Linked DNA regions of Tamandua tetradactyla. The protein of the gene in region 2 interacts with the protein of the main gene of each other region in a pairwise test. Links are inferred from orthologs where the notes say so. Each region holds a gene or a part of one and is shown on either strand. Other genes may lie near its edges. The genes, in order: TMEM11, KASH5, CDC73 and CYBC1.

Evidence for each region.
Region 1: the proteins of KASH5 (region 2) and TMEM11 interact in binary tests that used the Homo sapiens proteins (3 or more experiments, as listed by UniProt). The two-hybrid records come from large-scale screens. The link is inferred for Tamandua tetradactyla from reciprocal best matches to the Homo sapiens genes KASH5 and TMEM11.
Region 3: the proteins of KASH5 (region 2) and CDC73 interact in binary tests that used the Homo sapiens proteins (3 or more experiments, as listed by UniProt). The two-hybrid records come from large-scale screens. The link is inferred for Tamandua tetradactyla from reciprocal best matches to the Homo sapiens genes KASH5 and CDC73.
Region 4: the proteins of KASH5 (region 2) and CYBC1 interact in binary tests that used the Homo sapiens proteins (3 or more experiments, as listed by UniProt). The two-hybrid records come from large-scale screens. The link is inferred for Tamandua tetradactyla from reciprocal best matches to the Homo sapiens genes KASH5 and CYBC1.

Annotation. Positions count from the first base shown.
Region 1 is NC_135332.1:244,108-251,960, reverse strand, and holds the start of TMEM11 (transmembrane protein 11, mitochondrial), read right to left. Parts: upstream 3,004-7,853; 5' UTR 2,958-3,003; coding exon of another isoform or gene 2,896-2,957; intron 1-2,895. UniProt on the Homo sapiens protein: Plays a role in mitochondrial morphogenesis.
Region 2 is NC_135342.1:11,710,250-11,717,706, reverse strand, and holds the start of KASH5 (protein KASH5), read left to right. Parts: upstream 1-4,230; 5' UTR 4,231-4,359; intron 4,360-4,465; exon of another isoform or gene 4,466-4,660; intron 4,661-5,044; exon of another isoform or gene 5,045-5,088; intron 5,089-6,280; 5' UTR 6,281-6,356; coding exon 6,357-6,399; intron 6,400-6,864; exon of another isoform or gene 6,865-7,123; intron 7,124-7,457. UniProt on the Homo sapiens protein: As a component of the LINC (LInker of Nucleoskeleton and Cytoskeleton) complex, involved in the connection between the nuclear lamina and the cytoskeleton.
Region 3 is NC_135330.1:49,025,988-49,033,647, forward strand, and holds the start of CDC73 (parafibromin), read left to right. Parts: upstream 1-4,416; 5' UTR 4,417-4,824; coding exon 4,825-4,955; intron 4,956-7,517; coding exon 7,518-7,623; intron 7,624-7,660.
Region 4 is NC_135332.1:74,724,046-74,732,262, reverse strand, and holds the start of CYBC1 (cytochrome b-245 chaperone 1), read left to right. Parts: upstream 1-5,034; 5' UTR 5,035-5,137; exon of another isoform or gene 5,138-5,154; intron 5,155-6,100; 5' UTR 6,101-6,136; coding exon 6,137-6,221; intron 6,222-7,703; coding exon 7,704-7,745; intron 7,746-8,217. UniProt on the Homo sapiens protein: Functions as a chaperone necessary for a stable expression of the CYBA and CYBB subunits of the cytochrome b-245 heterodimer. Controls the phagocyte respiratory burst and is essential for innate immunity.

The DNA.
Region 1 (7,853 bases), on a different chromosome or scaffold from region 2:
CCTAACGTCTGGCCCCCATAAGCCGGGCACTCTGGACCAGGCTTCACGCAGTGCTGCCACCTCGCATCATAAGCAGAAGCAGTCGGGTCCAACTTTCAGGAGAACACGGAGAGGAACTCCGAGTACGTGGCTAGACTTGCATTCCACCAGTGACCGAGAGAAACTCAGGACGCTCGGGCCCCGTGAGAGTGGACACGAATAGCCAGTCAGATGCCAGGGCTGTCTGAGAGGTGGTCCGAGCGCACCACGGTGGCAGAGCACACGTATACCTGCACTGTACTTTCCTAGGTGGGCAAGGGTGTCTCAGAGACACCGTTGGGACATGTGGCGTCCTGCTGGATGTGCCTGCTGCCAGCATGCTGAGTTCTGGAAAAGAATGCAGGCTACAGGCAGTCTGGCGTTCTTCATTACAGACACAGCTAAGTCCCTCAGTTTAATGGAGTGGGGAGAGAAATCCACACACAAGCAGCTATCCCTTTCCTACTTCCAACCCTCCTACTTCAGTCTAGACCAGTGCTGTCCTATCATTAGAACTTTCTGCAATGGTAAAAATGGTCCATAGCAGCAGTGCTCAATATAGTAGGTTGTGGGCCACAGCGTGGCCACTGAGCCCTTGAAACATGGCTAGGGCAAACAAGATGCTGAAGTTTCCTTTCATTTAAATTAATTTAATTTTAATTGCCATTTGTGGCTAGTGGCTATCAACTGAGCAGCTGTAGTCTTGAGAGCAAAGTAAAGTAAGGCTCCACAAGTGGCAGTGCTCTAAGCTGGACCCTAACCAACAGGCAGCTGACAGGGGCAATAATGAGGGGCTCTGGCACTGGGCAGGCCTTTAAAGGCCATGCCTCAGAGTCTGCAGCCTCTGGCAGATCTGCAAAGTTGGCCAGAAATGTTACTCTGTTCCCGTCCCTGCCCCAAATTAAATGTTTTTGTCAGTTTCAGCATAAAGCAGATTCCAATCAGCAACTCAGTATGTGCAACAACTTGGAAAAGTGATCTTATAATGTCAAGCTGAGATTTGAGTCAGTGCAAACCTAACATGGAACAAAGTAATTTAAGAGAACCATAAACAGCCTGCACAGTCATAAGACCCAATAATACACTCTGGCCTCATAATATATGGTGCTGGGCAATCAATTAATCCCCCTGCCCCACCCGAAACAATCTTTCCACCAACTGGGCAGCAATGGAGGAGTGCCCCAGAAGTCAGCTGGCTGGATAGGCAGCAGGGCAACGCGCCCATCCCTGCTTGGCATGGAAGAATGTAGGAAGCTGGATTCCGGCAAATGACCCTCTGACAGAACCTGGCGAGGGCCTTCCAGCCTAGGCAATCGGCGGGGGAGCCACGCCATGTTATCCGCAGAGAGGGCAGAGGGTGCCACCCAAACCCCAAACCTGATGCAACCTGAATGCCTACGAAGGCAAGCAGGGGCCTGTGATGAGTCCAGCTATCAGGAACTGGTGCACATCTGTCCTGTCCAAAAGAGTCAGCCACTACCCACTGTTCAGGGAAAGGTTTATATGAAATCTCTTCAATCTGCAACTTTTGGCAACTAATGTATTTCTTTTAAAAAGTGAGGGCCAACAGTCAAGGGCTGTTGAATACTTTCCTCAAGCCAAAGAAAACTATCAAAATCAGTAAGCTCTATTTTCTTGAGTTAGTCGAGACCTCAGTTTCTGATGGCACTGCCCTGCGCGATGCCTGGGAATCCCCGTTTGGCCCTCCCGGTTGCTTTCATCCAGTGAGGAAGGCCTTAGCCTCTAAGACCCTGCATTTTCTAAACAGGTTATTTCCTTTTACTGAAGGATAATGTTTGCATTAAAGATCTTGATAGTGTTTCCTAGTTCTTCAGGCCGAATGGAAACCATCAAGGTAGGTTCTTTCTATGGTCTGGTCTGTTGGAGTTAAAAAAACAAAAATACCTGTCTGCCACTGCTTTCCCAAGGAAGAGGAAATACAAACCAGAGGACGAAGACAACCCCGAGCACAAAATAAAACCCATCACAACTGCCAAACAGGAAGGCACTTCTGGGCTAGGACAGCCATGTGCACGCGATAACAGTAATGGATATGTAATGGAATAACAGGTGACAGAGTCACAGAGAAAAACAACGATTCTCACCCAAAAAAAGGAAAGAAAAGCAAAAGCAAAACAAACTTTCTTTTCTTGCTGATCTCTCTTTCTCCAACCAGGCCTTAGAACGGGCAGGGCGGTTGGATGCAGGCGGCCCCCGGCACACACCCTCCCCAAACTTCCAGTGGCCGGACAGTCTCGTGGCTTAAGGAAAAGCTGCGAATTCGACACGAAGCATGAACCCCACCTCCTTCTATCCCACCTTCTAGAAATAGGATCCGAGGATCCGGCCACCTTCAAAGAGACGCGCGCCGAGCCGCCTGCCCAGACGGCTCCCTCGGGAAAGGTCACGGACCGGCCCCTCAGGGCAGCCAGTCGCCGAGGCCGCGCCACAGGACCCAGGCTCGCCGCGGGGGAAGGCGAGGCCGCCGCGGGGGCGTGCAGACGTGCAGGGCCCGGCCGCGGGCCACGGCCTCCCCCGCCCGGCCGCCCCCGGGCCCGCCTGGCCACCTGGGGGCCGCGGCCGCGAAGGCCACGCGCACGGCCGGGCGGCGGGAGCTCCGGGCGGTCCTCGGGCCCGCGCCCGCCGCGTCCTCTCGCCCGGCCGCGGCCCCCTCTGCTCGCCAGGATCCCCCGGACTCCCCGCGCTCCGCGGCGCCTCCTCGGCCCTCTCCGAGCGGGCGCCGGCTCCCACCCGGATCCCGGGGCCTCGCGACTGGATCCCCGGAGCCCGGCTAGCGGGCACGGCCGGAAGGAGCGCGCGCGGCTGCGGCAGGGAGAGCGCCGCCCGCGGGATGCGCCGCGCGCCCGGCCCTCTCACCTCTCTCGGGCGCTGCCGCCGCTGCTGCCCGGGCCCAGGCGCCTCCTTCCCCACGCGGCCATCTTGGAGACACTCTGCTTGCGAGCGCCTCTGCCCCGGCGGCCGCGGGGCAGCGCGGGGGCCGACGGGACGTGGAGTCCGGCCCGGCCCGCGGCGGCGCGGGAGGCGGAAGCCGGGCCCACTGCGGAACCACTGCGCCCACAATGCACCGCGCAGCCGGAAGCCCCGCCCTTCGCAGGCCTCCCGGGACCTGGAGTCGGCCGGCGCGCGGGAGCGGGCCCGCCCTGGAAGGGTCCCGGTGGCGGCACTGTCTTAGAGCTTACAACCGCAGGGTTCAGACCTTCCGGTCGCAGAGCCCACCGGCTTCCCGTGCTTGGGTTTGTCGGGCAAGGAGGGGCGGGAAGGGCGCGCCTACGACTCCCAGAGGGCCGCGGGAGGCGCCCCGCGTGCGCGCCCTGCGCCGCCGCCAGCCCCGCCGCCAGCCCCACCGCCCTAGCGGAGGCCTCCCGGCCCGCTCTTCCCGTCCTTCCCGCCGGCCTCGGCCCGCTCAGGTCACGGATGGGCGAGGTGCCGCACGGCCCTTTTCGGAGGTAGTCGCCGCTCCCGCTCCGTCCCCTCAGCTTTGCCGGACCCTGCGGTCATTTCGGGCCTCAGACCGACGTGGTCCCTGCTGCCTCGGTGGCCGGTTGTCGGAGGCGAAAGCAAGGAACAGAAATAATGATACGTCATTGTTCTGAAGGACATAAGGATCTGCAGAAAGAAAAGCAAGGAGGGCCTATTTTAGGTAGGGCCAGCGGGTCCTGGGAACCCCTGCCCCACAGCCCGCTTCCCTGGCTGCCTTGGCAGGACCCTGATCTCACACTCCCGGTATCTTTGAAAACATATGCTGGGCGTATCATCCCACCCAACGGAACCTTGCCCCAGGACCTGGCATTTCCCTGTCTGGACACTGCCCTGGAATCAGTGTGAGGGTGGACTAACCAGACCTATAGGCTGTTTGGGGGATATCTTGCAGTTTTTGAACTTATGGTTCCTCTTCTGCTTTCCAGAGATAATGTTACCAGACATATTCGTTAGTTCCAGAAGTGTTTATTGAGCAACTAATACAAGTGCGAATCTGAGGTTCAGGGACAGTCCCTGTTCTGTATAGCCTATCTAGGGAAACTTCTCAAGCCAAGCAGGAGGGTGTAAAGTGACTCATCATTGAAGAGTCCTTTGGATTTCCTTCCAGGTCCCATTCTACGATATTTTTATCTGCTTAAAATTTCAGTCCCTCATTATTTGCAGGATGAAGTCCAAGCTCCTTAAGCACAATGTAGAGGCACCTAAATTTGGTAGCTTCCTACCTCTCAGACTCTCCTGCCTGGAACCCCTCCATTCTAGTAAGTAAGAGGGTTTGTGTGGCCCCAGATGTTTCATGCTTTGCCTAAAATACCTTTCCCTCCAGGCAAACTTTTGCTGTGAGACTTTGGACTTGTCTGATGTCTAGGAAGTACTGCTTTTCCAGTTGGATCACACACCCTCCTCCAGGTGCCATAAGTAGTTCACTATACAGACCTCTGAATAGTTGCCATACTACCTTGTTACTATCTATGAATATATCTGTCCTTTTCTCTGTGCCTGGAGCTTATAAAGGACAATACAGTGGGGGGTGACTGAGAGGTTTAATAGTGATTCTAGAACACCTGGTTGTGAAGCATATATTGTAAGAGTGCTAGCAATACTAAATGAGATGATACATGGATAGAATTTAGAACAGTGCTTGGCACAAGGTCACAATAACCACTTCTTTCAGTCTTCATAACAACCCGATAAAAGCACAGCTATTGTCAACATTCTCACTTTATAAATAGGGAAATTGAGTTACAGAGGGTTGTGTTACCAAGGCCACACTGCTGCTAAGGAGCAGCACTTGGATTTGACCCCGGGCTGGCTGCTTGCAGAGATTACTCCTCTCCTGCACTCAGGAAGAGCTTTGCAAACGCTGTCATTGTCTGTGAAAATGAGGTTCAAGTCATTGCCAGATGTACAACGTAAGTGAAAATGCTCAAAAAACTTGACCCAGGATGAACTTCCCATGTCTCCAGCTTTTCCATTACCCACTTAATTTCTAAATAGCCATCTGTTTCCAATCTGCTGACTTGAGCTGAGATTCCCAGAATGCTTCTTCATCACTGTTGGTGCACATGCAACATTGGGAAGGTTCAGAGATAGATTTGATTCATTCAGGATGAATTAACCAAGAACCTGAGGACACAACTTGACTGTGGAGTTGGAATTCCCATGGGCTGTCATGCAGTGGAGACTCCTGAAGAGCCAATGTAAAAGGTAGGTCCAAGCTGATAAAAAAAAAAAAAAAAAAAGTCTGCTGGATAGGACTGTGGGAAGATGACAGAGTAGGAAGCTCCAGGAGGAAGTCCCTCCAGTGAAATAGTTATTGGACTGGCGGGAACTGTCTGAAGCAACTCTTTTGAACACTGGTGTCAAAGGGAACACTGCTGCACCCAGGGAAAAGCTGGATAAAAGGGCAGGTAAGCTGCAGTACATATTGGTGAATTTCACCTTCCATGCAGCGACTACCACCCCCCCACCCCCCAACCATGTGGCAGGCAGCAGTGGGATGCAGCCCAGGTTCCTGGTATAGCTTGCTGGTACCAAGGTGGACTATAGGACATTAGTCCTCCAAAATGTGGGAGTGTGTGGTCTGCTCACTGATCACATGTTTGATCAGCTACGTCAGGTGCTGGGGTGGCTGGCCCTGAGGCTGTCATTGTGCCAAAGCACCAGAGGAGTCATAAAGATATAGCACACATTTTTTTTTTTTCTTTTCTCTTTCCATTCCCTGTTTGGGAGCAAAAGTACTTAGGAAAAGTCACAAATTGATGGCTTGAGCCCTTGATGGCAAAAATTATAATCCCACAGAAGTGGGAGAATGATATTTACGGACTTATAAGAGCATAATACTCAAAATGTCCAGTTCTCAAGAAAAAATTAAAATATACAAAGAAGCAGGAAATTATGGTCTAGTCACAAAAAAATTTGCCAAAATCATCTTTAAAGAAGTTTATACATTAGAATTATTAGTGAAACACTTTAAATAAACTTTTAAATATGTTCAGTGAGATAAAGGAAATCATACACAAACTAAAATAAATTAGGAAATTATTGTGTGAACAAAATATACAGAAATTATAAAAAGGAACCAAACAAATTTTGGAGCTGCAAAGAACAGTAATTGAAATGAAACACCCATTGGAAGAACTCAACAGCAGATTTGAATAAGCAGAATAAAGGATCAACAAACTTGAAGAAAAGACATGAAATTATCCAGTGTGGGGAGCAAAGTGAAAAAATAATGAAGAAAAATGAACAGAGCCTGAGGGGCCTGTGGGACACCATCACGTAAGCATCAAGTAAGCATTACCATCACTGGAGTCCCAGAAGGAAAAGTGGGAGAGAAAGGAGCAGCAAAAGTATATGAATAAATAATAGCTAACTTTCAGGAGGATGGTGGGCTGGAGTGGAGTGACTACACTCCTGCTCCATGAAACAGGATAGATGATGGGGGTAGGGGAAATACCCATGACTGCAGGTCCCAGGTCCTAGGAGTTCAGTTGGGCCTTCTGCATGGTAGTCAACCATTCTGCCACTGGAGTATGTGTACACCCTGGCTGACCTTATAATAGACCCTTAACTTGAATTGTATCCCCTACATGAGATCCAGACCTTGATTTGGCAGAGAATAACAAAGTATAAAAGGAAACGTTGAGCAGAAACCAAGTAAATACAAAACTTTAGAAGAGTGAAGGAAACCAACTTGCATAATAACCATATCAAGATAAATGCCCAGAACACCCCAGAAAATCACAAAGCACACAAATATCCAAGCAGAAATGGCCTAGTCAAACGGCCCAATGGAAATTTCAGAGGGGACACAGAATGTGGAACAACTACTCAAGGATATTTTTAAGGAAATAAAGGCTATCAGAAAGACACTGGAAGAGCATAATGAAGAATTCAGGAGGCTGAATAGAAAAATGGCAGATCTCACAGAAATGAAAGATACAGTAGACCAACTAAAAAATATACTCGAGATGCACAATAGCAGATTCAAAGAAGTGGAAGGAAGAGTGAGTGAACTAGAAGATAGACCAGTAGAACTAGAGAGCACAAAAGAATAAATGGCAAGAAAGATGGAAAAAATGCAACTGGGTCTTAGGGAAATGATGGATAACAAGAGGCACAAAAATATAAGAATTATTAGTGTCCCACAAGAAGAAGAGAAGAGCAAAGGGTTGGGAAAGTTAGTTGAAGATATAATTCAAAAAAACTTCCCAACCCTCAAAGACACAAATATGTACATCAAAGAGGCCCAGCAAACTTCAAATAGAATAAATTTGAACAAGCCCACTCCAAGACACATACTAATCAAACTGTCAGGTATTGAAAAGAAACAAAATCCTGAAAGCATCATGAGAAAAACAATCTACTACATACAAGGGAAAACACAGAAGACTGACTTCAGACTACTCATTAGGCACCATGGAAGCAAAAAGGCAATGGTATGATATTTTTAAGATCCTGAATGAGAAAGGCTTTCAACCAAGAATTCTTTTATCTGGCCAACTTATCCTTCAAAACTGAGGGAGAGATTAACAACTTCAAAGATAAAGAAAGATTGAGAGAACTAGTCAACAAGAGACCAGCCCTATAAGAAATACTAAAGGGAGCCCTGTCAGTTGATAAAAAAAAAAAAGACAGGAAAAGGAGGTCTGGGGATGGGCACAGAGTTGAATATAAGTAAAGGTAATTTAAAGGAAAAGAGAGAGAGAGAGAAGGAAAATAATATGTAGGTCTGGCAAATAAAAACTAAAGGACACAATGGTTGAATCAAGAACTGCTGTTGCAGACACTTCTTTGAATGTTAATGGACTGAACTCACCAATTAAAAGATACAG
Region 2 (7,457 bases):
ACCTCTCTTTCTTAATATAGACAATGATTACACTAGTATATTTATTAAAATGTTATTGGCCTGTATATTAAGATTTGGCATTTAACTATATGTATGTTACAACTTTACCAAAAAAAAGGTTTTTTTAATTACCCAGACCTCAAAAAAGGAAAAAAAAAAACTGTAGAATAAACCAATCAATGAATGACAGAACACTGGTTAATAAAACTAAGAGATACACCACTGACCAGGCTGTCCTATGAAGACGCTTGGCATGCATTCTGACTGAACTCTCCTAAAGCCCCATGAGGTGGGTAACAATTGTCTCCATTTTGGAGAAGAGGAAGCTGAGCTTCAGGAAGTGAAGCCACTTTCCAAGGTCACAGAACAAAGGCACCAGGTTTTTTAAATCCATACCTCACCTCTTGAAGCACTTCACCACTCCACCTGCCAAACCAGTTCCTTCCCAGGCTTTATAACAGGCCACCACCTAATAGCCAAAATAATAACTACCAATTAACAGGGACCTTGTATAAGCCTGGAATTATCCCCTTGAATCCTCCAGGTAACCTAAGAGATCATTATTATCTCTATTTTTGGGATGAAAACTGAGGCTCTGAGAAGGGAAGTCATTTTCCCAATGTCACAGGAAGAGAAGAAGCCAGAGTATAAACCCAAGAGTATCTGACTCCAGGATCCATAGCCTTAGCCATTACTCTACACTCTTCAGTAGTTACCCTTGACTACTGAATTCATCCACCCATCCATCCATCCATCCATCCACTCATCCACCCAGTCATACATTCAGCAAATATGCTTTGACTGCCACACTGGGCCTGACATGTCCTAGTCCCAAAACAAAGTCTGCATAGAGCTCACATTCTAGAGAAAATTACCAATAATAACCTAAACATAGCTCAACTTCCCTGGCCATTAGAGAAATGCAAATCAAAACCACAATGAGATATCATCTCACACCCACCAGAATGGCCATTATCAACAAAACAGAAAATGACAAGTGCTGGAGAGGATGTGGAGAAAGAGGCACACTTATTCACTGCTGGTGGGAATGTCAAATGGTACAACCGCTGTGGATGGCAGTTCGGCGGTTCCTCAAAATGCTGAGTATAGAATTGCCATATGACCTGGGCAATACCCGGCAATACTCAAGGGACATAAGGGCAAAGACACAAACGGGCATTTGCACACCAATGTTTATAGCAGCATTATTTAAAATTGCAAAAAGATGGAAACAGCCAAAATGTCCATCAACAGACGAGTGGCTAAACAAACTGTGGTATATACATACGGTGGAATATTATGCAGTTTTAAGACAGAATAAAGTTATGAAATATGTAACAACATGGATGGACCTTGAGTACATTATGCTGAGTGAGACTAGCCAAAAACAAAAGGACAAATACTGTATGGTCTCACTGATGTGAACTGACATTAGTGAATAAACTTGGAATATTTCGTTGGTAACAGAGACCATCAGGAGATAGAAATAGGGTAAGATATTGGGTAACTGGAGCTGAAGGGATACAGACTGTGCAACAGTACTGAATACAAAAACTCAGAAATGGACAGCACTATACTACCTAAGTGTAATACAATTATGTTAAAACACTGAATGAAGCTGCATGTGAGAATGATAGAGGGAGGAGGGCTGGGGGCATAAATGAAATCAGAAAGAAAGATGTTAAAGATTGAGATGGTATAATCTAGGAATGCCTAGAGTGTATAATGATAGTGACTAAATGTACAGATTTTTAAAATGTTTTTGCATGAGGAAGAACAAAGGAATGTCATTATTGCAGGGTGCTGAAAATAGATGGTAATTAATATTTTAAAATGTCACCTTAGGTGTGAGACTAAAGCAAACAATGTTTACTTGGCACAAAATTTATATTTTGACTAGTGCATTTCCTAAGATAACTTATGTAGGTAGTTTGATTGAACACCATAAGTACTTGGAATCTCAGGTAGGACATGAGATTTTGTTGGTTTGCCCAGAGTGATGCCCTGATGAATCCCAGAGTGATTCGATCAGTGAGTGGAAAAGTATTTGCAAAGTCCCCTTCAGGGAATGGTGAGAACAGAGAGAAATTCAACTTTCCCAAGTTGAATTCTTGATATTCTCAGAAGCAATGTGGACAACCAAGCTATAGGCTGAGCCCCCAGTCTTGGGGGTTGTTCATATGAAACTTAACCCCACAAAGGATAGGTCAAGTCTACTTAAAATTTAGGCCCAAGAAAAGAACTAGCAAAACAACAGAAAAAGATATAGAATGTTAATATAGAGGAAAAAAATAAAAATAATAATAATAGTAAAAAGAAAAAAAAAGAAAAGGAAAAACAAACAAACAAACAGACAGACAGACAAAAAAAAAAGATTTAGGCCCAAGAGTTATCCCCAGGAGAACCTCTTTTGTTGCTCAGATGTGGCCTCTCTCTCCAGCCAACACAACAAGCAAACTCACCACCCTCCCCCTGCCTACGTGACATGGGACATGATTCCCAGGGGTGTGGACCTTCCTGGCAATGTGGGACAGAAATCCTAGAATGAGCTGAGACTCAGCATCAAGGGATTAAGGAAAACCCTAGAATGAGCTGAAATTCAGCATCAAGGGATTGAGAAAACCTTCTCGACCAAAAGGGGGAAGAGTGAAATGAAGACAAAGTGTCAATGGCTGAGAGATTCCAAATGGAGCCGAGAGGTTATCCTGGAGGTTATTCTTAAGCATTGAGTAGATATCACCTTCTTATTCAAGATGTAATGGAGAGGCTGGAGGGAACTGCCTGAAAATGTAGAGCTGTGTTCCAGTAGCCATGTTTCTTTTTTTTTTTTTCAATGTAATTTTATTGAGATAGCTCTGCACACCACACAATCCATCCAAAATAAACAGTGGTTCACAATACATCACATATTTCTGTATTCATCACAATGATCATTTTTAGAACATTTACATTACTCCAGAGAAAGAAATAAAAAGAAAAAAGAAAAATCCCATACATCCCATACCCCTTACCTCTCCCTCTTACTGACCACTGGCATTGCACTCTACTCACTTTTAAGACTTACAATAGAGATAGATTAACTAACGCAGTGCAGTTTTGACATGTGTATATATATATACAAAATCAGTGAAACAAAGCAAAACATCAAGAAGTAGGTCCATACAAACACAGCAACTGACCCTTATTTTTGCAATATAGTTAAACAATCATTACCAACGACCAGAGTAATGGATTACAGTTCAACAACTTCTGGCTAGTCTAAAATACTAGACCCTATGAAGAAATATCTATATAATAAGTCAGTATATTTTGTTTGCCTTTCATGAGAGAGATTCAAGCATGCTTAGAAGCCCAGTGTGAAGAATCCAGTTGGGAATGAACAGCTAACTATGAAAGAGAGAAGATGAGGAGTTGGAAGAGGGAGGGTCCTGAGCAGGCAGAAGGAGATGGAGTCTTAGCCATGTTTCTTGAGGATGGTTGTATAATGATACAGCTTTCACAGTGTGACTGCGTGATTGTGAAAACCTTGTGTCTGATGCTCCTTTTATCTACCACGTCAACAAACGAGTAGAACATATGGAATAAAAATAAATAATAGGGGGAACAAATGTTAAAATAAAAATAATAATAATAACCTAAACATAGACTGTCACCTGGTGAAACCATTGAAGACCACGTAAACAGAAAAGGTGGTTAGAGGGACAGGGGTTCTATGTAGACAGCCTAGCAGGGAAGGATTCTGAGCACGTCACAGCTGAATGAATGATGCCCAATGAACGAGAGGGTAGATAAGATTCTGTTTTTGTGTCTGGACTATCAGGGAGGCAGAGAAGAAGGGACACCTTTTGTCCCACACCCCCCTTCTTGAGTATCCATTGTTTGTAATTCTCCTCCTCTATGTAGAAAAACTAGGACTACTTTTCCCCTCCTCCCAAGCCGAACGAACCAAATGCTTTGAGGAGCACCCTTCGGGGTCCTCCTGACACAGCGTTCCCGGAGTCACAAAAGGAATCCGGCGTGAGAGCGAGAGCCGTGAGGAGGGAGAGGGCGGGACATTGTGACGGGAATGGGCCACCTGGCAAGGAACAGAGCGTAGGAAGGGCACGGTGTGGGCTGGACGAGCGGTCCCTCAGTCCTCCTCTGCCTTGCTCAGCGTCATTTAGCAGAAGCTTAAGGCACCAGCAGACAAGGCCTCGCAAAGCTCCCGCAACTGCCCCTCCTTCGCCGCAACTGCCCCTCCTTCGCCGCAACAGTTAAAACGCATCCACTGCCCCAGCTTCGCCAACGCGCACGCGCAGTTGCCACCAGCGTGGGCGCGAGCCCGGGCAGACCCACGCATGCGCGACACTGCCGTTACAGGTAACCAACAAGAATAGCTCGCGCCCTCTCAGCGATGTGCGCTTGCGTCAAGGAGGGAGCACGGCGGGGAGGGGTGGGGCTTAGTTGCTGCGCATGCTCTCGCACGCGCAGTCCCTCACCGCGCGCAACTGCCGTCGTTTGTTAGTGGCCTTCGTCGGTGTCTCGAGATTTGGTCGCAGCTCTGGGTGTGCCCTGCGTGAGCGAGACTCCCCACAGAATCCGTGTCAGAGCCGCTCCAGGAAACCTGACAAAGACCCCCAAACTGTAGGCGAGACGCCCCAAATCAGGGCTTCTAAATCCTGTAAGAGTCCTCTTTGAAAGCCTGGCAGAATCTTGTAGAAAGCCTGTCAGGCTTCTCTGTCAGACCTTCCCAACAAATCCTTTCAGGGAGTCCCCGAAATCCTGTCAGGGAGCGCCTGAGATCCTATCATACCCCCGAAATATGCTAGTCAGACATTCCTCCCCAAATCCAATCAGAGACACCCTCATGCCCGAGCTCCTCAGGGGTCTCGTACGTCAAAGCCCGGTCCTGCTCTCCTCATCTGAGCCGAGCCTCGGTGACGCTTCCTGAGTTAGTCCCTGAAACCTAGGCAGGACACAGGCCCCACGTTAAGCGTCGCTCTCTGCACCCCCGAGGGTTGTCCAAACCCCGGAAGCGTCTCCCTTCAGACGCCCCTTTTTCTAGGACCTTCTGAGTCCGCGCGCCCGCTGGGAGCTGGAGAGAGCAGGGTGAGGGGGGACATGGTGAGGAAGGAAGAGGGCGGGGTGGGGGGGGTACCGCTTTGTGGGGACACTGAGGACCCCACCGACTCGGGCGCAGACCCCCTACCCCCGCCGCGGTCAGCCCGGATGGCGCCTGCCCCCCAGTGAATTAGTGCAGCACCCAGTCGCTTTGGGAAATGTCCCGGGGTCAGCCCCTGCCGTCCTGTGGTGGAGCTGGCTGTGACCAGAATTGCACGGGGGATGGCCAAAGCTCAGAGGAGGGGCCCTGGGAAGGCTACCCAGGGCTAGGCAGGAGTGACGCTAGTGCCTGGGGGTGGTCCATGCCTGGGGGAACGTGGTTCTCCGGGAGAAGAGCAGGTTTGAGAGTACGTGCTGAGCTGCCCCGGGGCATGGTGAGGGCAGGGGACCTGGGAGTCTGCCGATGCGGAGAAAAATGTCAAAAAGAGGGAAGGCATTTTGGGGACCACCCTGCATGGGGCTGGGGCACTAGGGAGCCATGGAAGAACTGGGAGCAGGGGGAGCCCGAAGTCCAGTGACAGGGTGCCCTGGTGGCCCAAGGCAATGCGGGACCCAGAGACAGCTCCTGGCTCAGCCCCAGGGTGGGGAGCAGAGCATTTACCCAAGGGAACGTCTTAAGTGGAGACAGGAAGGGCTGCCAGGGGTCAGGGACTGTGACACTGTGTCTGAGAAGGAGATGGGTGGGGCCAGGCCACCCAGGACCTTAAGTGCCAGGCCCAGGGTCCAGGTTCTGTCCCCAGGATGCTGGGGAGCCACAGAAAGGCATTGAGCAGGGGAGGGCAGATTCACTCTGGGGCCTGGTGGAGGATGGACGAGGTAATACCAGGAGGCTAGAGGCTGGGATACAGTCCAGGGGGAGAGGACGAGGCCTGAGCTGAGCCCGGGGCCTTAGGGAAGGAGAGCGAGACTGGTAGTCAGTAGATAGGAGGGACGGGGCTTCAGGGAGGAGGGAAGACTGCCCAACTCGACCCTCCCCTCCCCCTCCCCCCCACTAGTCACCCTTGATCTCTGCCGCCCCCCCTCAGGCCCCCATTTTCCCAGCCCACACCTCCAGTCCATAAAACAGGCCCTGGCAAGCTGCCCCAGTCCTAGCGGGGGCGGGCAAACAGGTTAGAGCGCCAGGAGGGCCCCAACTGCGGATGACCGACTGAGCAGGCTGTCCTGCCCGTTGTCCTTCCAGGAATGATCAGGTCCCTCCTGGTGATGGAGAGAGGCTGTTAGTGTTGCCAGCTGCTGCCAAGCAGTGGGGGTGGCCCATGGAGCTGCCGGAGGGCCAGGCAGGAGGCCGCACTGCAGAAAGTAGGTGACTGGGCCCCTGTGTGCCCTGGGGGGGGGGGGTGAGCAACAGGAGCAAAGGGGTTCCAGGCTGGGACTTGGGGACCCGGAGAGGGGCAGGGGGCAGGAGCTGACACTTCCCCTTCCTCAGGGGAAGCCAGGAAGCCTCTGCTCACGTTGTTCCCCCTTCCCCACTTCCTGGCAGGCCCATGCTGTGCTTCCTTAGGGTCTCTGCCCAGATGCCATCTCTTTCCTGTATGTGAGACTGCTGTCCTGTTATACTCTGTCCCCTTTCCTTCTATCCTTTTCATCACGACACTGACGTGCTTACTCCCCCTTCATCTGTTTCCTTCAGTCTGGTGTTCTCACTCCCCAGGGTAGGGCTGCCCAAGAGAAGCATCACGCGAGCCACATATGTGACTGTAAATTTTAAAGTTTTTTAGCAACCAAATTAAAAAAAGAAAGAAAGAAGAACAATCAAGATGAATGGTAATAATAGATTTTATTTAATCTGGTATATCCAAAAACAGTATCCTTCCAGCATCCAGGCAAAAACGAAAATGTACTGATGAGCTGTGTCCTCTTTTCCTGGCTAAGTCTTTATGATCAGCGTATATTTTACACTATCAGCATCGTGTGTTGCACTTGTTGTCGTCCAGGTGCTGGGTTGCCCTCTCTGAGACTCACCTGCCAAGTGGAGGGGAGCGATGGGGCTGTCCCCAACAGTTGTCCTGACAATGAGGTGTGGCTGCGAAGCAGAGCTGGGATGAGCTTTCCACAGGCAGTACGGATTTCGACAGAAAATTATTCCTGAGAGCACAATATTCTGATTCCCTTTTCTCAAGTGGGAAAGCTGAGACTCAGGAGAGAAGGAAGTCTTTGGTCAAAAGCCATATACCCAGAAGTGATAGAATTGTTGGTTCTGCATTGCCAGCACCCTCTGGGAAAGCCTAGACTAATGGGGGACGCAGGGCCAGAGCCCCTGTCTTAGAGATTCCCAGTTGTCCAGTAGCAGAGCCTGTCCTTTCTCAAAGGCCAAAGAGCTCGGCCTGGCCTCTGGCCCCGGGATGTTCTGGATACTG
Region 3 (7,660 bases), on a different chromosome or scaffold from region 2:
TTCAACCTATCTGCACAGCTCATTTGAACAACTGAAACACAGAAAGCACAGAATGAGAAAGAGGTCCTTTAATCCTGTATAGATTATTGTAATGCCTGGAAACATCCTAGAGTATATTAACCAGATAATCAAAAAATATCAGCAAAGTCCCCTGAGGGAGGGAAGAAAGACTGTGGAACTATTAAATCTTACCATCAGGGAATCCTGATACTGTGTCAAGCTTTTGGGACACCCAAATCAATAGGCCATGCCCTCGATCATGAGGCTTACTTTTGTGAAGCTTATGTAGGTAGTGGAGAAGCTTAGACTACCTATCGGCATGCCTAACAGTTATTTCTGGAGGGCCTCTGTTGTTGTTCAGATGTGGCCTCAGTCTCTCTAAGACCAAGCTCTGCAAGTGAAATAATTGCCCTCCCTACTACGTGGGACATGACATCCAGGGGTGAAAGTCTCCCTAGTGACGTGGGAGAGGACTCCCAGGGATGAATCCAGACCTGGCACCATGGGATCAACAATTACATTCTGACCAAATGGGAGAAAAGAAGTGTAATTAATAAAGTATCAGTGGCAGAGAGAGTTCAAATGGAGTCAAGAGGCTACTCTAGAGGTTTGTCTTATACAAGCTTGTTACCTATAATTACCTGCCAACCCCAAACTAGGACCATTCCAGCCAATCCTAAAGAACACCTAGGGCAATTTATAAGATTCCACAAGGGTTCCAGGCACTAGAGTAACTTGCCAGAAACCTACAACATCCAGATGGGTCCTTGGTCCAGATAAGTCCTGAAACCTAGCCCAGCCTCTCCAGAACATCAGATAGTTCCATCTCCCTACCCCACATTAGTGACAGACCCTTCCAATATGAAAAATTTAGAACTGCCATAGCCCAAACAACCCTAATAAGAGGTATGGAGAGATCAAAGGGGATGGTGGAATTATACATAGAAGATAGACTTTAACAAAGGAATATGGATGCTGAATCATTAGCTGATATCTCTTAGTCTCTAGTATTTTAGAGCAGCTAAAAGAAGAACCTAAAATTGTGAAATTGTAACCCATGTCAAAGTCTGAAATATTTTCTACAACTAATTGTGGTGCTGTGCTTGGAAATTTATAGCTTTTTGTATATATGTTATTGTTCACAAGCAAGGAAGGAAAAAAAGTCAATTGTGATGATAAGAAAGTATTTAAGCCCTATAGCCTCCTACATTCTGGAGCAGCTAGAAGGAAAAATATGAGAGGATTGTGTGGTAGCCCATGACAAGCTCTGGGATCTACCTTGTAACCACTTTTTGAAGAGTGCTTTGAAAAACTATTGCTTTTTTATTTCTTTGCTTTGTACATATGTTATACTATACCATAAAAAAAAAAGTGAAAAAAAAAGAAGCAAGCTCCGGCTAATTGGGGAAATTTCCAGGTGAAATAACAGATTCCCTCTTCTGGTGTACCATGTTAGCTGCAATTTCCACAGTGGGAACAATACAACTGGAAATGGTGGCCAAATCTTGCTTCTGACCTTAGCAGAAGTTATAAATGACACAACTTCTGGCACATTTTGAACAACAAATAAGTCCAAATCTAAATTCATTAGCCAGAGATATCATAGATAATCATATGGCACTTGAGTTCCTTTTAGGTTGCCAAGGGGACTTTATGGTATAATAAACACTTTTTTTTTTTTTTGGCTGCATCTATGTAAATTTTACAGGACAATTAAAACAATCATGACTATTCTAAAAGAAAAGTCATCTAGAAAAGTCCCACCTAGACTTTGGGACATGTTTTGATGATCTGTTACCAGGATATATTGCAAGGTTTAATAACCATTGTGTTTCTGGTAATCACTTGTGTTCAGAGGCTTGAACAACTCAATCTGCAAACACAAGGAGCAAAAGAATTACTACAGTAGTCCAATTATAGGCTTTGTTACCTTAACAACTTTCCGATCAGCACAGACATGGCAATGGTAAATATCTGAGTATCACAAAATTAATGTCCTGTGATATGACTGTCTCTTCTTGACCAAATAAGGGTACTAAGAAAGAGAATAGCAGCCTCAGACGCCATGCTATTCTCCTTTTAAACATTATTTCACAGAGCACTAATGTCAGCAACTCTGTGATAGTGACAGAGCAGGACCAAAACAAGACCACTTTGTAGTCATATCTGAATGCTGACAAAAGCAAGAACATTGTCCAAACTATAAAACTGACCCCAATCAACCCTCTATACTGGATAATATGAGTCACTGCTTCTTTACCAGCTATAACTTTAACCATGTTTCATTCTTCCTTGCCTTCTGGACAAAAAGTACTAAGATACTTAATCATAGAAATACTCCTGCTTCCCTCAGTATCCAATCCAGGGCAAAGTCCTGATTTCTTGAATTCTCCCCCCAAATCACTTAACACAAACACAAATCCTACAATAAGTCTTTACCTTTAACTGAAACACCCCACAGTTTCCAATAGTGTGCAGATTATATCTCTCCACGAGTCAATAAACTTAACCTTGTTGAACTACAGGCATGTGCTTGGTGGTCTTTGGCTGGAGGATATCAACAGAAATCAAGAAAAAATCAGAAAGTCCTAGATTTCTCTTTTTCTTTACTCTTCTGTTTTCAACTACAGACTATTTCCTAAATATATGTTGAATTTATCCTGCCCTCTCAATCCAGCTGCCACTATTTTAATCTCACACCTTCATTTTCCACTAAAACAACAGCTTTTTATGATAATGCCACTTTCATACATTCTCTACTGTTGCTACATTTCGTTATTCCTCTGTGGAAAATGTTAAAATATTACGGTTAGCATCCCCTGAATGTGATTACATTTTGATGACTTGGTTTGTAACCAAAAGTTTTTTATGGTGGCCAAATGGCCCCAGAGATTAGGATTAAATTTATGTTGATGTAAAAGAAAAAAGTGGTTTATTTTGATGTATTAATTTTGACAGAAAATTGCGTGGATACTTTTATAACTTTTTTTCCCCCTTGCTGACACAAATGACAAATGACTGCAATCACAACATACTCTCATGGGCACAGGTTATGCAATGTTGCAGGCATGCCAAAAATAACTTAGCCATTTCCCACTCAAGAAATGCAGAAGAATGAGTGATGTTTTTATAATAACCATGAAGCTAATCCAATTTTAAAAAATTCTACAAATTTCAGACTAGAGTGTGGGTGGGGGATGTGACAGTCAATTACTACTGGAGGTTCCGATATAAGTACGAATATAGTAGACAGTGTGAGGGATAGATAAAAGAGTAATCCTTTCTTTATAGTGTGTGTTTTGGGGTGAAGTTCAGGAAAATATCAAAGGGTGAAAATATTTGCAGAACAGGAAAGTTTCTCAAATTCATAGTGCAAGATGGCTATAAAACATCGAAAATGAACCATATAGTTCTATATGTATATCCCTCGGTTCTGTACATAACCAAAATTGATATCTTTCAAAGCAAGTCAAGAAATTTTGTCAATCACAAACTTGCCTGCTTCTCCCCTGCTACAGTAAAAGGAATATTAATAATAATAAATTATGGGGCCCAAAGGATATGTTTGGTTCAAGGCACACAGAACAGGTCATAGCATACTGAATTTATTTCAGCACTTCGAGCACAGCAAAGACACCATTGAGCCTTCTGGGTGCCAATAAAAATAGGGTAGTCCGACAGTGTTTTTCTTATTCGCACAGTTTGAGGTTTCTGGTCTCTGATTTTTCCATGAGCATCCTAGAACGGAACCATTTTTATATCCTTTGGGATTAGGGGAGCGGGTTAGGCGATAGGTTGGGAAGTCATTATGTAAGGAACGGTGGGGAATACAATATTTACGATATTTTAATGATTTGCTAGACGCTTTCACCTTCTCACCCAATCCTCACAACATCCTTGAAGCTAATATCTATATATTAACTCCATTTTATCCATTAACCAATCAATGCCGCCAGAAGGTATGTAACTTGACTCAAGTCAGATAGCACCCAATAAATAGCAGTTCACGGAATTCATCTCCTCTGGACTTGCTCTTTTCCACCACGCGAATCCATTAAATCAACTAATCAAAACACCGCTCCCACCCCCGAAAAAAAACAAACCACACCACCACCAACAAAAAAACAAAGAAGCACCCTTCTAAATGGGCTTATTCGAATTGCTAAGCTCTCGAACCCTTTTTCTAGGCCAGGGTCCGACTCAGAAAGAAAGAGGATTCTTGCTTTCTGCAAATCCTTTGCCGAGTTCCACTCTCGCCCAGGTGGGGAACAGAAAGTCTCCCGCCCCTCTCAAGGCAGGTCGTTGAACGCTCTGTGCGCTCTCCAGTCAAACAGGGGCTGACCCGCCGTGCAGGTGCGCGCGCACCTGTCGCCCGGCGAGAGCGCTCCTAGAGTGGGTAGGTGGTCCGCGCGCGTGCGCCCGGTAATGTGCCCCGTGCGTGCGCCCTACGCGAGCGCGGTATCCCTGCGTTCTGCGTTTATTGCCGTGAGTCGGCTCTGTGCCAAGTAAGAGTCTGGGAGGGGCATTTTCCCGACCGGTCGCGGCTCCCCCTGGCGGTGGCCTTGCAGCGCTGGAGACGCGCAGTCAGGCGTTCTCCGCGGGCAGCCGGCGGCGGGGCCTTGCCATATAGCGCGGGGTCCTCGGCGGCCTTGGTGGCTGCTACCCCTGCTGCTGTCGTAGACGAGACGGCTGTTAGTGGTGCTGCTGTTGGTTCGCGGCGGCGGCAGCGGCGGCGGCGGCGGAGGAGGAGGGCGAGGCGACCAGAGAAGGAGGAGGCAGGCGCGGCGGCGGTGGCCGGGGCCGGCGGCGGCGAGGGGGGTGAAGATGGCGGACGTTCTCAGCGTTCTGCGACAGTACAACATCCAGAAGAAGGAGATTGTGGTGAAGGGAGACGAAGTGATCTTCGGGGAGTTCTCCTGGCCCAAGAATGTGAAGACCAACTATGTAGTTTGGGGGTAAGTCCGGCATGGCTGTGGCTCGTGGGTGGTAGGGAAGAGTTGGGCGCCCCCAGGTGATCTCCTTTTTAACCCCTCCCCCCGTTTCCTTTGGGGATGTGGTAAAACAGAGGTGCTCTGGGAAAAAGTTTCTCTCAAGAGCAGAAGTTGCACTTTTGGGACGAGGAGGGAAGGGGAAAAGCGCATTTTAGTGGTCCATCCCTTTAAATCTTTGAAAAGCCAAATGGGAAGGATAACGTGGGAGTTTTCGACTTTGCCAGTCGATTTTACCAATATATATTGGGTGCCATCACTGTGTAGGGCTGGTGCACAAATATTCCTGAAAATAGATGCAAAGGAGCGCGATGTCTGGTGTCGGAGACGTCTCTTTTTGTTCCTTATTTTCTTTCTTCTCTTGGTGGCTGCCATGTGTTGTAACTATCTCCGCTGCGCTTGTAGCTGTTCTATTTTTTTTTTTTTTCTGTATTGGTGATTGGGGAGGGGGATTACCCCTCAAGAAGAGAGAACCAACTTTGTGAAGTCAGGACGCAAGCAAATTTGGTGAATTTGCAGTAGTCATCAAAATCTTTGTTAGATGTGAAAGCAGGGAGTTTACTCAGGGAGAAAGTTGCTTGATGTATAATAATAGAGCTTTACAGATCTAAGTACGAAACTGATGCTGTGAATGGTTTTGGACAGTGTGTTAAAGAGTGATGGTTTAGAATGTTGATCCACGTGGGTTTCTTGAATTTAAATAACTCCGGAAAACATCTAGAGACAGGCTTAATAATCTTTGGTGGCCTTTTTAGTGATGTCACTATCTTTGGTGCTTCATTTGGATATTAGAACCTTGAGCCCGAACTTACATCCTCAGTTTTGTTTAATCGAATAGGTAGAATAGGATGTAATGAAGGGAGCAATGGGCTTTGTGAAGAGTTGATGAAAAGCTAGGGGAAATTTAGTTTTGTTTTTTTTTGGTCTTTGTTTTCTGGCCTAGAGGTTTATGGTTTAATTAGCTTTGTGAAATGTTGATGAAGTGACATTTTTATGAGTTATCTAACTGCTTTTTATTTTCAAAAGAATTATCACTGAAAGAATTGCATTTAATTGGATTTCTAATGAAGATTATTTTCTTTATAAAATGATTTAAAGGGAGAACTCAGTATTCAGAGCAGTTCCGTAATCAATCTGAGGAACAGAAAAATTTTTAAGACCCTAGCCCTGCCTCAGAGGAGGTTAACTTAATCGCAGTAGAGGAGGTAAAACAGATAAATTGATGTGAAGTGTTTTCTAGCTCATAAAAGGAGCAGTCACTTTTGACTGGAGGTATTAGGTAAAGTTTCATAGAAGCTTGTTTGCCAGATAGACATCCATTGCATTTTTATTTAATAAATGAATGAATGAATGAGCTTTAAAGAATGTGTAGGAATTCTGTTTGTGCAAATGGGGGTTAGACTTTCCTGAATGAGGGAACGTACATACAGCCATGAGAACTAGAAGGGGAAAGGTGACAAACAACAGTCTAGTGAAGCCAGTGATAAAGGAATGCTTAGAATAGAAGTTCAGTTGCAAATCACACCAAGAAATATATTTCCATTTAATTTATATGTATGTGTCCATGTGGACATGTAAATATATACATAGATGTGTGTATGCATGTATTTATAACATTAAACAATATTTACTCTTACTGAATACAGTGCATTCTGTTATTTTTTTCTATTCTTTTGTACACTGTTTTCAAAAAACCAAGAAACTAGTTGTTACCTCTATGTTTTCCCTCCATGGTAAAATAATTGATGGTGATGCATGGTTCGACATACACTGATTTAGAGGAAAAATAGGAATATTGGCGAAAAAATAGGTTTGGGATTGGTTATAGTGGGCTATATTTAGATGAATTCGATTTATACATTGACTGTTCTATTTCTGTATGGGAGACTGTAGTAGGAAGGGTGGGATTGGACATTAACATTTATTAAGTAATATGTGCTTTCATTAGAGAGTTTGCACCCCAAGAACACATTGTTTTTTCACAAGTAGAATTGTGTTTTGGTTTACATTATTTGTCTCATTTGGTGTGTGTAATAAGAGTCCTTTGAAATTCATTGTTTCATTTACTGGAAGAATGTTTTTGAGGATGTTATCAGTCTCTTCTTTAGCAGGAGCCATAGGATAAATTTCTTGTAAGCTTTAGCACCAATAATAGTTGCGCTACTCTGGACAGTGTGATTGTTTTCTCTTATGGATCCTATCTAATACATAACAGTTAGGGTCCTCTGTTGACAAAGTTCAGAACCCAGTTTGGGCCTAATTCTAATTAAAATACCTTAGAGTAAGAATTTTGAGTGCTTTTCTTACTTCTTGCTTTTTATTATTGTCTGTCTTTGTTATTTGCTTACTTGTGCCCAAAAGACATTTCTACTTACTAGATTTTATATTGTATGTGTATTTTTGTTAACCATGATTAATCCGTTATTGGATAGCAAAGTGGGTATAGAATAGTAAATATGTAAAATTAATTTTTAAGCCCAAGGAGTTGAATTATAATTGTGAGTAAAAATCTTGCCTTAATTATTTCAGGACTGGAAAGGAAGGCCAACCCAGGGAGTACTACACATTGGATTCTATCTTATTTCTACTTAATAACGTGCACCTTTCTCATCCTGTTTATGTCCGACGTGCAGCCGTAAGTGGAATTCATTTTAAAACTGCTTTTTTGACTT
Region 4 (8,217 bases), on a different chromosome or scaffold from region 2:
TGAAGGGATACAGATTGTGCAACAGGACTAAATGTAAAAACTCAGAAATGGACAGCACAATACTACCTAGCTGTAATACAATTATGTTAAAACATTGAATGAAGCTGAATGTGAGAATGATAGAGGGAGGAGGGTTGGAAGCACAAATGAAATCAGAAAGAAAGCTAGACGATAAAGATTGAAATGGTATAATCTAGGAATGCCTAGAGTGTATAACGACAGTGACTAAATGTACAAATTTAAAAAATGTTTTTGCATGAGGAAGAACAAAGGAACGTCATTACTGCAGGGTGCTGAAAATAAATGGTAATATTTTAAAATTTCAACTTCTGTGTGAGACTAAAGCAAAAAATGTTTATTTGGTACAAAATTTATATTTTGACTAGTGCATTTCCTAATATAACTTATGTAGATAGCTTGGTTGAACAACATAAGTACATGGAACCTCGGGTAGGACGTGAGATTTTGTTGGTTTGTCCAGAGTGATTTGATCAGTGAGCGGAAAAGTATTTGCAAAGTCCCCTTTGGGGAATGGTGAGAACGGGGAGAAATTCAACTTCCACAAGTTGAATTCTTGATATTCTCACAAGCAGTGTGGACAACCAAAGCTATAGGCTGAGCCCCCAGTCTTGGGTGTTGTTCATATGAAACTTAACCCAACAAAGGATAGGTCAAGTCTACTTAAAATTAGGCCTAAGAGTCACCCCCACGAGAACCTCTTTTGTTGCTCAGATGTGGCCTCTCTCTCCAGCCAACACAACAAGCAAACTCACCACCCTCCCCCTGTCTACGTGGGACGTGACTCCCAGGGATGTGGACCTTCCTGGCAACGTGGGACAGAAATCTGAGAATGAGCTGGGAATCAGCATCTAGGGATTGAGAAAATCCTCTCAACCAAAAGGGGAAGAGTGAAATGAGACAAAGTGTCAATGGCCGAGAGATTCCAAACAGAGTCGAAAGGTTATCCTGGAGGTTATTCTTACCCATTAAGTAGATATCACCTTGTTATCCAAGAGGAAATGGAGAGGCTAGAGGGAACTGCCTGAAAATGTACAGCTGTGTTCCAGTAGCCATGTTTCTTGATGATGATTGTATAATGGTATAGCTTTCACAGTGTGACTGTGTGATTGTGAAAATCTTGTGTCTGATGCTCCTTTTATCTACCTTGTCAACAGATGAGTAGAACATATGGAATAAAAATAAATAATAGGGGGAACAAATGTTAAAATAAATTTAGTTTGAAATGCTAGTGATTAATGAAAGGGAAGAGTAAGGGGTATGGTGTGTATAGTTTTTTTTTCTGTTTTTGTTTTATTTTTCTGTTGTCTTCATTTCTTTTTCTGAATCGATGCAAATGTTCTAAGAAATTATGATGATGATGAATATGCAAGTATGTGATATTATGAATGACTGATTATATATGTAGAGTAGAATGATCACATATTAAGAATGTTTGTGTTTCTTTCCCGTAATTTTTTTTAATTAATAACAAAATTAAAAAAAAAAAAAAAAGAAATAGGTTTTTTCCCTGTAGGGTTCCCCACTGTGGTCAACTGCATCTCTGTGGGGTCCTTTAGCATATCCCTTTGTATTTGGAAGCTCCTGTAAATAGGTCCTTGGATAACTCTAGAAGTTTGATCAGATTCAGAATCAAGGTGTTTAGCAAGAGTACTTCATAGATGATGTATAATTCCATGAGGAGATTCTGTTACCTAAATGTTGTCTTGTGCTCTTAGCAGCCATTGATGAAATTGTCTAGATCCATTGTAGGTCATGAAAGTGATGTTTAAATTCTACCATTTCTCACATAGCGTTATAAATCCATGGATTTAAAAACCTGATGATTTTCAATTCATTGTAATTTTTCTTACTGATGCTCAAATAATCCTTTTTTTTTTTTTTAAAGTAGTGTGAATCTCTTATTTAGGTTCCTGAATTCTTTTGACAAGAACTAACGGTCTTTAGTATCTTCTTTCTTTCTGATACATTTCCTTATAAATTTCTTGCTTCAGACTTGGAATTAGTATTTCTCCAAAAATCATGATGCCTTTAGAATGAATTGGTATTGAAAAAACAGAAAACGGGTACTAGAGTTGCTCATTGCTATTGGGTTGGTCATTTTTTCTAGGACCTTTCAGCAAACAGTACTAGGAAACATAACACATGCAAAATATAACATAAGTTCATATAGGTTTTTCTAATTCAAAATCAAGAATACAGGAATCTTATTTAGCCTCATTGAAATTATATCTGTGACTCCTTTCTCCTGTACTGAAATTTCAATTTCTCCATGGCACCTACATAATTATTCATCTCCTTTATCTCATATTACCCACATAACAGGCTCAGACTAACAATGCTAACGATGCTAACAATGCTAACTCTACTATCCATTTCAAAAAATATGGATATATATATATATATATATTTACACCCCCATACATACCCTTCTTAATCTATGGCATAAAACACATACTTTCTCAACCCTGCTTTTCTCAATCAAATATATATGGATGAGCGCATTCTATAGTAATATAAAGATACTCATTCCTTTTCATAGCTGCATAGCACTCCATCATGAGGGTTGTATGTATTTGTCAGGGTCCAATCAGAAGACAGAACCCACACAACAACTTAAACGGGGGGAGTTTAATATAAAGATTTATTAACTATAAGTCAATTCGCACGTGGAGAGACATTAAGACTAGGAGAAATGTGAAGACTGTAGGAACAGCAGAAATAAGGAGCTGCCACCTCTTCCCCTCAATCTCTTTACCACCAGTTCTTCAATGAAGAACTCCATCCCACCGCCTGGGGTTTTGTTGGAGACTTTGTTGGAGAGGGCTCAGCTGTGACTCACTGGTTGGCAAATAAATCACTGTTGTTGGCAGAAGTTGCTGAAAATCTGCCCTCCAGCGTGCTAGGGAAAAATGGCACAAGAGGTGTCTCACCAGAGGCACTTTGCTACCAATAGCCAGGAGGGCACCAGGGGAAGCTGCTGGACACTGGGTGCTGCTGGCTGACGGGCACCAAAGAGGCTGGATGCCACAGAAGCCCTGTGTGCTTCAAGAGTCCGCAGAGCAAAGCTGGGCAGAACCAGGGACCAAGAGGGCCTCTTCCTGCAATGTCTCTGCAGTGCCCTCTACTGACAAAGCTTCACACTGCTACAGGAGAAAATGAAGCACTCAGATCCATCTTCACAGAGCAGACAATGAAGGATGAATTTGGAGCTGAGATAAAATATAATGATAATTGGCACAACATATGCATTTTATTCAAGTAATCCTCTATTAGTGGTTAGTGTGTTTATTTCCAGTCTTTTGCTATTACCAATATTCAGCAGGACTTTTAACAAAATCAGATATAACTTGTTCAACTTAACATTTGTAGAATGCTTGTGTCTTTATTTTTAAATAGCAAATAGTCTAGCAGGAAAGGTGAAATTGTGTAAATAACTATAATGCAAAGTAGAATTTGCTGGATATCAATAACTGAGATGTCAGTTTGTCCTATTTAAATTCCAACACACAAAATTCTAGTTGCAGTAATCAGGAAGGACTTAAAGGAGGTTCTGACAATTAAAATAGACCTTAAAAACAGTGTACAACCTTAACAGTGAAGTAGGCCATTTCAAAAAGATGCAACATAAGCTGAAGCATTAGGTCAGGGAAGCTCTAGTGTTCAGGCAGAGCATAGTTTTGTGGCAGCTTAGAGCAGTGGTTCTCAAAGAGTGGTCCCAGGAACAGCAAATTCTCAGAGCCCCACCCAATACATAGTACATTTGAAACTCTGCGAACAAGGTCCTCCAATCTGTGTTTTAGCAAGCCCTCCAGGAGATTCGGACAGATACTAAAGGACAGATACTAAAGTTTGAGTATCACATGCATTGAGTATCTGAAGAAACTATAACAGTTATCTCCAAATTTTCTGAGCATGTACCTATCGATAAAACTCATGAGTTTTTGCAGACCAGTGTATGAGTATGCATTTATAAAACTATGTTATGCACAATTGTATTAATATTTATATAAATTACAAAAAGGTATAAAAAGATAAAAACAAATATAAATCCAGCACCCCACAGTCATCCTGGCAATCTCACTTTGGAGACCACTGCAGTGGGCAGTGGTTGTGTGGTAGAGACTCTCCAGTTCCAGGTAGGGTCCTTCCTCTTCTATCTGGCTGGAAATTGAAAAGTGATCTGGGAAGGCTGTTCTTCAGCTATTTAGCAGCAAAAATCAGTGAAAATTTAGTAGAGTGAGGAAGAGAGGACACTTAGTAGGCCCTGACAAGCTGTTCCTGTGGAATAAAATGTCTCCGACTACATCCTTCCTTCCTAAAGATTGGGCCAAGTTAATAACAGAAAAAATGCCATCTGTGGGGTTTACAAACATGCGTGAATGTTTCGTTTTCCCAGCTACACTGAAGGTTTTCTAAGTCAAGGATCCAGACATGCTCATCTGCCTTTCTCTCACTGTGTGCATGAGAAATGCTAGTTATCTTCAATTTTTTTTTTTACCTCTATTTGTATCTTTATTGGAATTGCATTGAATCTACAGATCACATTAGGAGAACTGACATCTTCAGAATATTGAACCTTCCAATCCATGAACAACTCTTAGTTCTACGTCGCTCACCAAAGGGTTTACACTTTTTACTGTAAACTTCTTGCACAACTTTTGCTAGACATTTCTACGTAGATCATATTCTTTTTTTTTTTCTATGAAATGTGTGTGTTTATTTATTATAGTTTCTCTCAATAGATCATATTCTTGAAACTATTTTTACCAGCTGTTTCTGGGGTATAATTTACACATGTTTACACGCATTAAGATTTCAATAAACCGGTCACACGCGAGCAGCCGTCGACAGGACACAGGTAAGGGCAACTGGCGAATCCTCAGGCTTCCGGTTACCGACACAGATGGGCCTCGCTTGGCCCGGAAGTGGACTCCGCCCCACCTCCGCGATCCCGGAAATGAATCCCGCCCCGGAACCCTGATCCTGGAAGTGAGCACCGCCCTCTCCCATGAGCCCGGAAGTGGGTGCCGACCTGCCTGGCGAGCCCGGAAGCGAACGCCGCGGGTCCTCGCCTTCCACTTTCGCCGCGCGGCCGGGGTCCTTCGCGGCGGCACAGGTGCGCACGGCTTCTCGGTAGGACTCCTTGGTCCCCGGCTGCCCTCCGGGTGTGGCGGAGCCGTGAGGGCGGGAGGGGAGGCCGTTCCCACGGGCGCCGCGCCGGCTTTCCTAGTGGCCCCTCGAAAACGGAAGTCGGGAAGCGCGCGCGGGGCTTTCACTGGCCGGGGTCTGGGGGTGGGTGGGCTCGGCCCAGTAGACGAGAAGCGCGTCTGGCGCCGAGGAGGCGGGCAGGGCCCGGTCCCCTCGCGATGAGGAAGGCGGACGCGTGCGCGCCGCCGCTCTCTCCGCCCGGACGCCGCTCTCACGGCGGTTTGACGGGCGCGTCCCTTCCCGCGCTTGTGTCCTTTCGCGGGTTGACCGAGTGGCGGCCCGCACTCTTCGTGGAGGGCCTGCGCCCCAGCCCGCCTTGCGGCTCGCATGGGCCCCGGGGCGAGCCCCACTGACGAGGCACTGCTGTCGTGCGGCTTTCTCCTTGGGGAGGCAGCTGGAAACGGAGCAAGAGAGCTTGGCTGCAGGAAGTGACGGCGGCCCGAGGCGCCGGGGTCCGCGGGGGGCGCAGCTGTCCTGGATAACCGGGCTGGGAGGGAGGACCGGGGGCGTGGGGCGGCGGCGGGGCGAAGTCTAGGGTTAGTCTGCGTGATTTGAGCAAACGACGTGGGCCTGTCCTAGCAGCAGGCGAGCTCAGAGCGTGACTCGGACTAGCCGCGCCCTCGCGCTCCTTCCCGCTTCCTCTCGGCGGCGGACGCAGCCGGTGGGGCGGGTGCGACCCTCCACAGAAGAGCTTCAGGGGGAAGCAGACCCTGGGGCCGACTCCACACACTGTAGAGACCACTCACCTTGGCTAGTGGGGGTGCTGCCCTTGCGGGGGTGATGGCGGAGGGGCGGGCCCTGAGATGGCCAGGGCCAAGGAGGGGCAGGTGGCGGGCTTGAGGGGCCTCATGGCTGGCATCTGTCCCCGCAGCCTCGGCCTTCTGCGCGGCGCCCCCAGACCGCAGAGATGTACATGCAGGTGGAGGTGCGCACGGGCTCCCGCCTGCATTTGAGGAGGGCACCTGGCATCAGGTCCTGGTCGCTCCTGGTCGGTAAGGATTTATTTCTCTAAGAAACAAAAGAAACACTGACTTTGGAAGAAGAATAAAAATGAAATGAAAAATTCCTTGTTTTACTACCCCCGGAATACAGCCACTATTTTTTTTTTATTAATTAAAAAAATTAACAAAACATTAAGATATTCCATTCTACATATACAATCAGTAATTCTTAATATCACATAGCTGCATATTCATAATTTCTTAGAACATTTGCATTGATTTAGAAATAGAAATAAAAAGGCAACAGAAAAAGAAATAAAATGATAACAGAGAAAAAAAGATTATACATACCATACCCCTTACCCCTTGCTTTCATTTGCCACTAGCATTTCAAACTAAATTTATTTTAACATTTGTTCCCCCTATTTATTTTTATTCCATATGTTCTACTCTTTTGTTGGTATAGTAGATAAAAGGAGCATCAGACACAAGGTTTTCACATTCACAGAGTCACATTGTGAAAGCTGTATCATTGTTCAATCATCATTAAGAAACATGGCTACTGGAACACAGCTCTACATTTTCAGGCAGTTCCCTCCAGCCTCCCCACTACATCTTGAACAACAAGGTGATATCTACTTAATGCATAAGAATAACCTCCAGGATAACCTCTTGACTCTGTTTGAAATCTCTCAGCCATTGACACTTAGTCTCATTTCACTCTTCCCCTTTGATCAAGAAGGTTCTCTCAATCCCTTGATGTTAATTCTCAGCTCATTCTAGGGTTTTTCTCAGTCCCTTGATGCTGAGTCTCAGCTCATTCCAGAATCTCTGTCCCACGTTGCCAGGAAGGTCCACACCCCTGGGAGTCATGTCCCACGCAGAGAGGGGGAGGGTGGTGAGACTACTCATTGTGTTGGCTGGAGAGAGAGGCCACATTTTGTTTCTTCGTATGCTTTTCAGTTTTTCCTGTATTCATGTTTTACAAACAAGGCATCTCTCTTTGCCACTTATCTGGTCTCAGTGAGACTCTTCCCCTGCTCTCTGGGCCCCCCCATCCCGGCCCCTGCTCTGTGCTCAGTGGTTTACATCTTCAGCACCTTGTACTGGTCTGGAGCTGCCCCTCCACATACCTGCCCAGCAGGAGCTCAGGGGCAACTGTGCTGTTCCCTGCGACCCTGGCCGGGGTTCTGCTTGGCCTCCTGGCTGCCATATGTCTGTCCTTGTTCCGCACCTGAGCACCAGGCCCTGCCTTGGACGTTTTCAGGGGTGCTTGTGGAGGCCAGTATCAGGGTTTCAGATGAATTTCTTAGCTGTCCCCCCACTTCTGAATCCCAGGCTTTCCTCTTCCATCCTGCCCCCACCCCTCCATCCCGTCTGCAGCCACCCCTGGCAAGGGGAAGGGCCTGTTTGCCTGGGGCTGTGGTCCTGGGGCCAAGGCATGTGAGAGCCCTGGAGCCAGCACCGCTGGGTCAGGGAGGAGGTAGGACCCTGGGTGGACAGCCAGACAGAGGCTCTCATTCTCTTTTCCAGGAATCCTGTCTATTGGCCTGGCTGCTGCCTACTACAGTGGAGGTAAAGGGCCTGGTTCTTGACTTGCCCAGCTGTTCGGAAAATAGCGAAAAGAAGGGGAAACTGTCCCTCATGACCCTCGGGGACCCCGCCACAGTGCAGCAGTGGCCTGGAGTGGCCAGCATGTCTGTTCTCAGGCGCGGGTACCCGACCTGGGCTGCCTGCTGCTTTGGCCTCATATAGATAAGCGTTTTCCTGTGTCATGAATGTTCTCCTAAAAGCTACTCTTTAACATCTGCCTGGGACTCTGATACAGGGTGAACCCACACTGGACACTGCCTCCTATTAGCGTTCCTAGCTTTCCACCACCACACCCCATGCCACCTGATTGCCCCTGGACAAGTACCTGGGAGGGCGGGCATCCCGCTTGATGGAGCAGGCACAGCAGTGCTGCAGATCTGGCAGACGGGTCAGATCCAGCCAGCTCTCTGCCAGGATGGCTGTGGTGTGGGCGGAGGTGCTGGGGAGGGACAGC